Caenorhabditis elegans: one gene and its partners. The protein of the gene in region 1 purifies or fractionates together with the protein of each later gene. This does not show direct contact. Each region holds a gene or a part of one and is shown on either strand. Other genes may lie near its edges.

What was found.
Region 2: the proteins of str-13 (region 1) and dylt-1 fractionate together in Caenorhabditis elegans (co-fractionation; one large-scale study listed by BioGRID). This does not show direct contact.
Region 3: the proteins of str-13 (region 1) and ttbk-7 fractionate together in Caenorhabditis elegans (co-fractionation; one large-scale study listed by BioGRID). This does not show direct contact.

What each region holds. Positions count from the first base shown.
Region 1 is NC_003283.11:2,725,332-2,729,088, reverse strand, and holds str-13 (Seven TM Receptor), read left to right. Parts: upstream 1-1,887; coding exon 1,888-2,091; intron 2,092-2,138; coding exon 2,139-2,229; intron 2,230-2,277; coding exon 2,278-2,356; intron 2,357-2,418; coding exon 2,419-2,815; intron 2,816-2,863; coding exon 2,864-3,041; intron 3,042-3,086; coding exon 3,087-3,187; downstream 3,188-3,757. Other genes in the region: G-protein coupled receptor str-33, read right to left, coding at 1-146, 192-553.
Region 2 is NC_003279.8:7,299,468-7,302,973, reverse strand, and holds dylt-1 (DYnein Light chain (Tctex type)), read left to right. Parts: upstream 1-2,060; 5' UTR 2,061-2,079; coding exon 2,080-2,121; intron 2,122-2,223; coding exon 2,224-2,431; intron 2,432-2,551; coding exon 2,552-2,622; 3' UTR 2,623-2,909; downstream 2,910-3,506. Other genes in the region: Inositol monophosphatase ttx-7, read left to right, coding at 5-82, 285-421, 535-639, 748-902, 947-1,067, 1,548-1,809; BAH-4 (Glycosyltransferase family 92 protein F13G3.3), read left to right, coding at 3,012-3,100, 3,162-3,386.
Region 3 is NC_003283.11:12,894,248-12,898,004, reverse strand, and holds the start of ttbk-7 (Protein kinase domain-containing protein), read left to right. Parts: upstream 1-2,132; 5' UTR 2,133-2,142; coding exon 2,143-2,208; intron 2,209-2,256; coding exon 2,257-2,340; intron 2,341-2,465; coding exon 2,466-2,532; intron 2,533-2,729; coding exon 2,730-2,944; intron 2,945-3,104; coding exon 3,105-3,529; intron 3,530-3,745; coding exon 3,746-3,757.

The DNA of each region.
Region 1 (3,757 bases):
ACTCCGTTCTTATATAATTATATGAATAGGTGTCCGGGAATAGACAAAAATATACTGATGCACTCCAAGCGAAACCAAAAAATATCACATAGAAAACCCAGAATACAAGCTTCCAACCAGTAAACCAAGATTCGAGAAGGTTAGCGCTGAGAAATCATATGTTCATTCTGTAAAATTTTGAATCAACTTACTTTACAAGAACCATATAGCGGTAAATAAATTGAACGGCAACGAATGAAATTAGAGAAGAATATAGTCCGGAGTACAAAACAAGAAGCATTTGAACTAAAGATTTAAATTCCGAAAGATCATTCGATAAACTAAAGTAGACAAAGGAAGCATTGAAATTATGAACAAATGGTCTTGCAAGCATTTCAGTACAGGAAAATATTAGTCCAAGTAATGCAAATAAAATTATCATGTACTTGTAAGCTCCAGTGATGTTTTTAGTGCGACGAGCAGTCAGATAGATCAAAAGGGAGTTGCACACCAATGCGGTAAGGAATGCGAATTCAGCAATTGTCCGGGATAAATCGCGAAGGTTCACCGTCATATTCGTAGAAATATGGTGTTCAATTATTATCAAAGAAGAATAAATATTGTATAGACAGTATATCATTTCCGGCAGAACCTTAATGGTGATGTGTTATATCCGTTGTAGACTTGTTTGTTCGTTTAGATAATTGTTGTGGTTGCATGCTCAGAAGTAAGAATTAGAGCTTGTACAGTGCATGTCACTGTTATGGGAGTCCCATGGGATCAGAGCTGTGCGGCAAATTTGCCCAATTTGCCGTTCTGCCAAGCTCGGTAAATTTCGAAAAAGTGGATTTGCCACATTTTCCGAGCCAGGGAAAATTTTAAAAATTTGCCGAACACACCACAAATTGGATTTTGAAAAATTTGATAGGAAATATTGAGTTAAAAAAAAACAACAGTAAAATTACATAAAATGAGTGAAATAGGCGTTGTTCAAAACTCTTTTGGTGCTCCTAGAAATATCAGAAATGTTCTCATTTTTCGGAGTTTGCCCAGCACGGCAAATGTGGGATTTGCCACACACTCCAGAGACATTTTTAATTTACTGAAGATTTTCAGATTCACACTCACAATATATATTTTTAATTGCTTCGATCACTAAAAGAGAAAATATACAATGTTCGCAGTCGACATCGATCGAGGACCGAGATGAACTCACATTATCCACTTTTTGGGTATTGCAGTAGCTTGAATACGGAGTCATTTCAGGTACAAAAATGGTCTTGTAACTTGGTGAGTCAAAAGAGCAGCTGACATTATTCCAGGATTGCGAAAACGTTTTCCACACTTGGTAATTTTCTGAAGTAACTAATTTTCCTAACACTACCTTAGCTTGGGCTTCCATGGGAGGCATGTACGGTTTTTTGACACTTGCCTCCAACCTTATCATGCCGGCCTGCATCCTGGCGTAAAATCAAATGCTTGGTGTTTGCACCACGTAGTGCGTAAGGTGGTTCGCTCGCCGCGGCCAACACTTTTCGGGTTTCGCGCCGCACCATACATCAGGCGCGAGGCAGGCAGGCGTTTTCATGGAAACCCTAATTTTAGCCATGCTTTTGAATTACTGTATGTGCTACCATCATGTTACGTTATACCTTTGTTCATGTTTTTATACGTAAGTAGACAGGACCGGAACTATAGATCTGGTCAACATAGGCTAATTTCCGTAACATTTTTATTCGAGAAGCTCCATAAACAGAATAAGATATAAAAATGAAATACAATACTTTCTAGCATATGATATTTTTTGGAGAACGAAAAGTGGAAATAATCACTATATATTCTACTGAATAATAGTTATTGCGATGAAATCAAAATCTACCTTTTAATAATTGTCAGAGTTTCTCCAAAATGTCTGGATCTTATCTTTTTTGGATTCATGTGACCCATTTTATTCCAAAACTTGGATTTGTTGCAACATTTATGTTTGGCATGTGTCTACTGTCCTTGAACTATCTCGGTGCTCAGAAAAATTTCGGATCTTACAAGTACCTGATCACTGCATTCACAATGCTGGGAATGACTTTTGCGACAGTAGAAATTATAGTGTACCCGGTAATAATATGCTTTGTGGGAAACATGTGTAAGTATAATTGTTTCAGAATGTTCACAACTACAAAGCCAGCTTTCTGTTCTATAGTTTTGAGGAATCTTTTGGTTTACGTGGATCGTGGTCAAGAAATATTCCTCTGGGTTAGGCAAAACTTTTTTTTTTACTTTAAAATTCAATTTTTTTTTCAGCAATTTACACATTTTTCCATTCCGCAACCATGTCTCTATTATCAGTGCAATTCATTTATCGATATTGGGCAGTTTTTGAGTAAGAAATTTCACAAATTCAGAAATTCGATTTCAAATTCGAAACAATTCTAAAAATTTCAGCACGAACAAACTTGCATACTTCGAAGGATGCAATTCTCTTTTTTGGTTTTTCTATTGCGCATTTTTTGGCTTTCAATATGCTCTTGGTACCTACTTTTTCTTAGCAAGAGACGAAATAACAGATGACTACCTTCGTGAAGATATGCTTCTTAGATATAATGCGAATATAACTGAGATCCCAGCAATGGCAATAGTTGCCTATGATCCTGTGGATGGATCAGTAAGATGGAGAAATGTTATAGGAATATTGAACATTTGCTCAATTGTCAACTTTCAATATGGTGTCATGATCTACTGCGGATGGTCGATGCACACAAAAATGGAAGATAAAATTAAGAATTTTTCGGAGACTCTTAGAAAACTCCACAAACAGTTTTTCAAGACTCTGGTGCTCCAGGTTAATAGTTACTCCTGATTATATTTTCCTAATACACATGAAGTTCAGATAACAGCTCCTACAATCATATTATTCATTCCCATCACAATTATAATATTTCTTCCTCTGTTCAACTTAGACGTCAGTCTTCCATCTGGTGTCATGCTATGCAGCTTCGCATTGTATCCTCCCACTGATTCATTCATCGTCATGTTCGTTGTGTCGGAGTATAGAAGTACTGCCAAAAGTGAGCATGTTGAAATAACAAAAGTACTTAATCATCATGTTTTAGGAACTCTAGCAACTTTTTCAAACGGCATCAAAAAATTTAAACAGTCTAGAGTTGGTGGAATTCCATCTGGAACTATAAGTTCTCGTTACATTGCCTCATGACTTCTTAGCATTAAAAATTGATCTCTTCTCCCCGCAACTTCACGGAATATCTTTTAGTTCGTTTATGGCTCATTGGCATTTTCTTTCTCTATAGTTTTTTTTTTTTACCCGTTTACATTCCATCCCCAACTAGAAAAGGAACCCTTTTTGGTTCTAATAATCTTTAATAAATGTTTTTATCTGGAAACACTGCAAAATTCCAATTAACTAATTTGGAGAATGAAAAATAATTTTTGAAATTTGCCGCACCCTCCTGAAACATATTTATTTAACTGAAAGTTTTCAGACTCCTCCTTATGGATTTCAAAAACATTTTCAAATAGAGTCTGGAAATGTTTTCTGTGTTGTTTCATTTTTACCTCAAATCTGCGTGTTTCACCTGTCATCGAAAAATATTGTTGTATATAAATTTATATCCAACTTGTTTTCTCTCGGCTTGAATTTCCATTTCCCACAAATTTCGCATTTTCTTTTAGAACTCAAATATGAATTAATTTTCCAAGAACTTTTCAGACCACTTTTAATTAACACAAGTTTTTTTGTTTTGGAATCAAAAATTTAGTTGTTTAA
Region 2 (3,506 bases), on another chromosome or scaffold:
TTAGATGGTGTTCCAACCAATCCACGAGGAAGAGCAAGTTTTCGTCGACTACGCCATTGAGTTGGTTAAAAAAGCTGGAACGGTGAGTTGAATTCGGATTAAAAAATCAAACTGTTTCCTAAAACAACAACGTCGTTATTATCTTTGTCTTATTTTTGTTAATTTTACAAATATGCACATTTAAATCAAATGCGTAACTCGAAAAACAACATTCTCTATTCCTCAGTTACGAAACAAATTTTATTATTTGAAAAAACATCAATATTCGAAAAAAACATTTTCAGCTCGTCCGTACCGCGTTTGACTCCCCGGAAAGCAAGGTTGACACAAAATCATCGAATACTGATTTGGTGACTGAAACTGACCAAGCTGTTGAAAAGCTTCTCATCGAAGGGCTCTCCGAGAGATTCAAAGGACATAGGTAAGAGCAAGGAATTCCCACGGTCCGCTCGATTTCACTCATTGTCTCCATGACAACCAGTTGGACTTTCTTTTTCAATCGAGTATTTACATAAATTTACTATTTTGATTCAGATTCATTGGCGAGGAATCTGTAGCCGGAGGTGCGAAAATTGAATGGACTGATGCACCAACATGGATTATTGATCCGATTGATGGAACTACTAACTTTGTTCATAGGTAAGATTTTTTTTAAATCGGACTCTTCAAATAATGGCAAATCGCGTTATTTAATTTCTAATTTGGACTCAAATTTTTCTCGAAAAACAAATTCTTATGTTATTATAGAATCCCTATGATCGCAATCTGCGTTGGACTTGCAATCAAAAAACAAATTCGTGCTGGAATCGTATACAATCCAATCACTAATGAACTTTATCTCGCTCAACTCGGAAAGGGAGCTTTCAAAAATGGATTTCCAATCCGAGCATCAAAGAATCAATGTAAGTAATTGCACTTTTCTTGTCATGCACCCTGCTTTTTGAAGTGCTTTCAAAGGGAGTTCTCTGTCAATCTCTCGGTCTGCATAATCGTGTTCAGTTCGGCGATCGCTGGCTCGACATTGCCCAGTCAAACATGCGAAATCAAGTGATGGCTGGTGTGCGAGGGTTTGTTTTAATTTTTTGGTCTAAAATTGATTACTTTTTTACAAAAAATATACCTCCACACTTCCCGCGCTGGTTTTGCACGTTTTACTTTCAATTTTATTTACATTCACATAGAAACGTTGCAAATTCCAGTCATTGCGGAAAGTGTGCTCATACTTCAACTTGGCTCAATTCGATCTCCTGTTATGCAGAAATCATTTGTTGATTCTTACAAGACTGTTATGTTCGACAAACAATGTCACGGGTACTTATAAATATTTTTTATATTCTTGTCGAAATCTAGTGACTTTCTTGAACTGTGCGTTTGCAAATTTTTTGAAAGTTTTACTAAAATTGAGAAATGGATAAGATGGAAAAGTTAGATGTTGGATGGACAAAGTTTAATATGAAAAAAATCACGAGGATGATGTGATATTATTATTTTTAATATTGTTATACATAATAAAAGTTATTTGAAAAAAATCCAAGTTTTTTTTTCAGACACCGTTCGTTTGGCTCCGCCGCGATCAACATGGTGATGGTTGCACAAGGAAGTTGCGATGGATATGTTGAATACGGGATTCACGCTTGGGATGTTGCTGCTCCTTCTATCATTGTCACAGAAGCCGGAGGTGTTGTCACTGATCCAACTGGATCCCCATTTGACGTCATGTCAAGAAAAGTTCTCTGCGCTGGAACAGCTGAACTCGGACGCGATTTATCTGCATGCCTCACTCATGTCGATTTCGAGCCGGAAGCCTAAATATATATTTAACTATTTATTTTCAAAACTCACATATTGTGACATAACATTCCTACCATAACATGCATTATCTGTATTTCCAATTTAATATTAGTTTTTTGATTTTATTTTCTAGTCGTATGTATTCTCGTTTTATGAGAATAAATTATTTAAAGATGTTTATATCTTAATTTCTGATACTTCAATTGCCGTTTGAGCGCACTTGATTTATTTATACTGTCTCTTTTTTAATAATTAAACTCAATATTCAGCTCTCACAAGCTCAACATCATGGCTTTGGCAGAGGAGGACGTTCACATGATCATCAAGCAGGTACCGATATTTTATATGTCTACTGTATTAATTCTTTGAAAAACTATAATTTTTGAGTTGATTATTGTTTATTCACATTCTCGTAATCCAATAATCTTTCAGGTACTCGACGAGGTTGTAGGCGCAAGCACCCAGTATACCCACAAGGACAGTGTTCAGTGGAATCAGAAGGCCGTCGAACAAATAACGAAGAAGCTAGTGGCAGCGGGAAAACCATACAAATATGTGGTTACCTCGTCGTTCCTTCAGATCTCGAGCGGTTCCGGTCTCAATGTTAGCACGATTTCCTACTGGAATAAAGTCACGGATTGTGAGTTAACATTTTGTATTAAAACATTAAATAATAAAGAGGGAAATAAATTTATTACTCACAAAGTTCTGATTTTGAAAGTTGGTATTCAACTTATAGCTCAAAAAATCTCATTTTCAGCCTCGTACATGTACCGTTGGGAAGCCAAAACAATGCTTGCAATCGTCTATGTTTTTGCAATTGCAATTTAACAATCCACAGCTTCATCTTATATGTCTACTCTGGTTTTCCTCGTTTACCGCCAATTCTCCCCTTATTTCTGATTGTTTTTTTCTTCCCCATTCATCACACACTATCATGTTTTATATTCAGACCTATTACCTGTCCAGAAAAACTGAGCTGAAAAAATCCGGACGAGCAGCTCCTTCACATTCAAAATCTTCCATCATTTCCCCCACTCAATTCATTTGTTTTGTCTTTGATTTTCAAATTTTTTGCCTTATTATTTTATTGCTAAATTAATGAAAACTGTTACTCCTCATTTTGACCGTCGCACTCATTGAAGGTAGTTCGAGATTAGATGTTCAGATAACTTGCGGGACGCGTTAGGACACAAAACAAGTGCGTCAGATCAGCCAAAATGCTTCCACGAATAATTCCATCGGTTCTGTCTGTGGTATTACTTTTTTCGTTTTTATTTTTTGTAACGGCAGTCTTACTTCAATTTATGTAAGTATTGATAGTTAAAAATTATCACCGTTCAAAAATGATTGAAACGATAAATTTCCAGTCGAATCGATTCACCAGATCTTGAAAATGAAGAAGTATTTCATTCGGCACCTTATGATATATTCATTTATTCTGCATTTTATTATAATAAATCAAAAAGTCTCGGAGATTCTTCAATGGTTATTCTGATGACTGCTGATTTTGAAGTTTTGGAAAAAGTTAAAAATCTTGAACTTTTGGGCATAAATGACACGAGTCGAGCTATGACATCTGCTGAATTGGAAAGGTTTGTGTATTTAATTTCTTATTTTTGTGTTGATTCGAAGTTTTTGAGCTTTTCGGCACCAATTAAATAAGATTTGAAAATTCAATGAAAAAATTCAAAAAAAAAACCAAGAAAGGGGCG
Region 3 (3,757 bases), about 10 Mb from region 1:
TCCTTCAAAAGTCTAATATTTGCATGACTATTTTGGTTTTTTTCTTTTCATTGCAATATATATATATATAGTTCCTTCTTTCAACTATATTTTGTTCAATATTGTCAGCTGAAATCCAAAATAATCAGGCAACAAACTCATTACTTTTGCCTCTTCTTCCGCTTTCCTCAGGAGGTCTTGAGCAAAAAAGAAAACAAGCTTGTCAATTGTGATAAATGCTCGTTTTTTTCTGGTTCTTACTCCCTGTTGTTTTAACTCTGAAAATTGCTTGACTCTAATCCCTGCGCCTCTTTTAATCCTTTTCTCATTTTCCGGCATTTCGCAACCTTCAACTTTATGTCATTCTCTCTCTTTAGTTCCGATGCCCATCGGATCTTTATCTTCTGATTATATTGTCCTCCCCCTATTTTCCGATGGATTCGTTCCGCTCTCAATTATCCTGACCCGTGTTTCCCGTTCACTTACGGCCGAATAGCTGGTCCCCTTAATGCACTTTACACCCCTCTTTTCTCTATTTTCTACGCACTCTTTTCCTATTTTCTTGTCACCCTTCTTTTGGTTCATATATTCAAACAAAACCCGGGGACCCTCTATTCCACTCATTCTCTCCCGGTTAAGTCCCGTATGTCTCTCTGTCTCTCATTTACTTTACCAATGTTATTTATTCATGGTCATCCAAACAAAACGGCCGGTTCTTCGGGTCCTTTTTACGTAGAATAGCACTCTATAGCCTTCTATATTCAACTTTTCACCATCATCATCATCATCAATGACCATTTATTAAAGAAGTATTTTTAGATTTCTCACCTTTTCTTCCATTTTCGAATCTATTTGCATCTCTGCACCTTGTGCACCACATCCTCCCTCTAATCGTGGGAGTTTTCAGTATTTTAGTCCTTGTGCCACGTCAATCAAGATAGGGAAAAGAGCAGGCGGCTCACGGGAGCTTCTAGCTCAACAATCCGGGAGAATAAATGTCAGCTGTTCCTGGACGCGGGCATTTCTCTTTCTCGAGATTTGTCCCGACAGGGGGGGGGGAGGCTATCGATTTCGTTTTTATATTTATATCGTTTTGTTCATTTCTTCCGATGACATTCAAGAGAATAAAAACAAGAAATTGAATGTGATGATCGGAAAACAAATGTTTAATAATTTTCTGAATACTTTTAGCAGTTAGTAAATTGTTTTAAATTTACTTTCTTGATTTTCTCTCGAATTTTCACGATTTTTGTTTCATGGACAGTTCGTGGAAGTTATCTGCATTTGGCGCTAGCTTCTTGCCCAAATTTGGCTTGAAAAAAACTGGGCCAAAAAAGAAAAAACTTAGCGCTTTATTCCGGAATTATTAAACTTTATTAGGCTTTTTCAAAACATTGCCGAAATGTGGACAAGAACTTTGTATCAGAAACTAATTCCTTTTTTTTCTGTCTGTTTGTGGAAATTATTTTGTTTTCAAATATTTCGACGGCTCTTAGATTTCCATTTCCGTAATGTTTTACTTTAGAATTTTATTTCGTAAAATACTTTAAATAACCCCCATATGGTAATTTCTGGCAACTTAACTTGACAAATCGTGAGCGTATAAATCAAATAAGCTTTTGCTTGGTGCCACATACATAGTGCCCTCTATTTACCCGACTCACTTCCAAAATGGGAAGAATGCGTTTTTAAATGGAAGAAAGTAGTAGGTGACACGTCGGCAATGCGCGGCGAGATTTATGAGCCCCATCGGACATCTCTTCCTTCTTTCTTCGAAGATTTTCCAAAGCTCTTCCAAGGTTGCCTCTCTTGATACTTTTTCGGCTGGTCATTTTGAAGAAGGCGCTCCTTTTTCTTTGTGTGTGCTGCTCCCACAGCTTCTCCATGTCTACCCCCAACCATTTTAGAGAATATATTTGGTGCATTTGTCACTTTTCCCTCCTACCGCCTTCTTTCTTCGTCCAGCTTCATCTTTTCTTGCGCCCCATCTGTTTTCCATTCGACTTTTCTCATCTCTTCACGAAATATGCCATTCTCATCAACCACTTCCCCATTCGTTTTGCTTTTTTCTTATTGCGGTCCGATAGCCGTTTCATCGTTCAAAGATTCTCTTTTTCATTTATTTTTCTTATTTATTGAATTTAAATTTTCAGAGATGAAATAATGACATCATCATCAGAAGGAGAAATTCTTCAAGTTGGACAGGTCATCAGAGAACGATGGAAAATAGTGAGTTTCTATGTTTCAAGCTACGGAAACTAAAAGTTTTGGTTTCAGAAAGCGAAAATCGGTGGTGGTGGATTTGGGGAAATCTACGAAGCAACAGATGTTCAAAATCACCATGAACGGGTAGCGATCAAGGTATTTTTAGGATGTTTTTTTGAGAGAAATGTCTGCTTTTTTAATAGAAATACCCTAATTTTCCTGCACATGTATTAAATTTCTTTAAATTTTGAAAACCATTTTTTTTATCAATTCATTTTCAGGTCGAATCAAGCAAAGCAACAAAGCAAGTGCTCAAAATGGAGGTCGCAGTTCTTCGACGACTTCAAGGTTTGTTGGCTGTTTATGACGTATTTCGCTTTTTTTTTCCTAGTTTTTTTTTCAAGCCGTCATCAAAAATCTAATTACGCCTGTCTCGTTGGCATCTTAGCATCTCGTTTCTGAGAAATATTGAAAGAAACGGAAAATGAGAAAACAAAATCGTTTTACACAATAAAAACCTGTGATATAAAACCTCCTTGTTTCAGGAAAAAAACACGCGTGTAAATTCTACGGGTGCGGACGAAACGATAAATTCAATTATTTGGTAATGAGTCTGCAAGGAAAAAATCTGGCTGATTTGAGAAGAGAAGCACCGAAACAGTGCTTTAATTTGAGTACAGCAGTTCGTGTTGGAATACAGATTTTGAATGGAATTCGAGAAATTCATTCAATTGGATTCTTGCACAGAGATGTGAAACCAGTAAGTTAAAGTTTGAAGTTTTTTTGAAAAAAAAACAATTGAGAAATTGATTTTGCAAAAACTATTATCTTAAGGCCTAATGAAATTTTAGTCAAAATTATTTTTAAAAAATAGATGTCTGAAATAAATAAATATTAATCTGTAAATTAATCATTTTCAGTCCAACTTTGCAATGGGACGCACATCACAAACAATGCGAAACGTGTATATGCTTGACTTCGGTCTCGCTCGTCAATATCTGAATGCAAAAGGAGAAATCAGAAGTCCTCGAAGTGCAGCTGGATTCCGTGGAACAGTTCGATATGCAGCAGTAACTGCTCATAAAAATAAAGAAATGGGAAGACAAGACGATCTTTGGTCTCTTTTTTATATGCTCACTGAGTTCTTACAAGGACAATTACCATGGCGAAAGATTAAGGACAAGGATGAAGTGGGAAAAATGAAGGAAGAAGCCGATTTGGTTGTTCTTCTAGATGATTGCCCACATGAAATGCATCTTTTTGTTGCACATTTGAAAGTTTTAGGATATGCAGATACGCCTGATTATGTATACTTGGAATCACTTCTTAATAAGATTGTCGCTGAGTGAGTTTTTGAAAATATACAGTTGACTTCCATAAAAATCGTTGAAAATTTTGATTCGATGTAAAGTACCGTTTTTTAGTCACAAAAATTGATGCCTTTAAGGCGACCTACGCTTTCCCAATGCGTGCTTACTGCCTTTTAAAATGTTTTAGATGACCCCATATTATAGCAGATGCACTTATTGTCATAATAAACTCTTAAAATGTATTTTTCTAGAAATGAGATCAG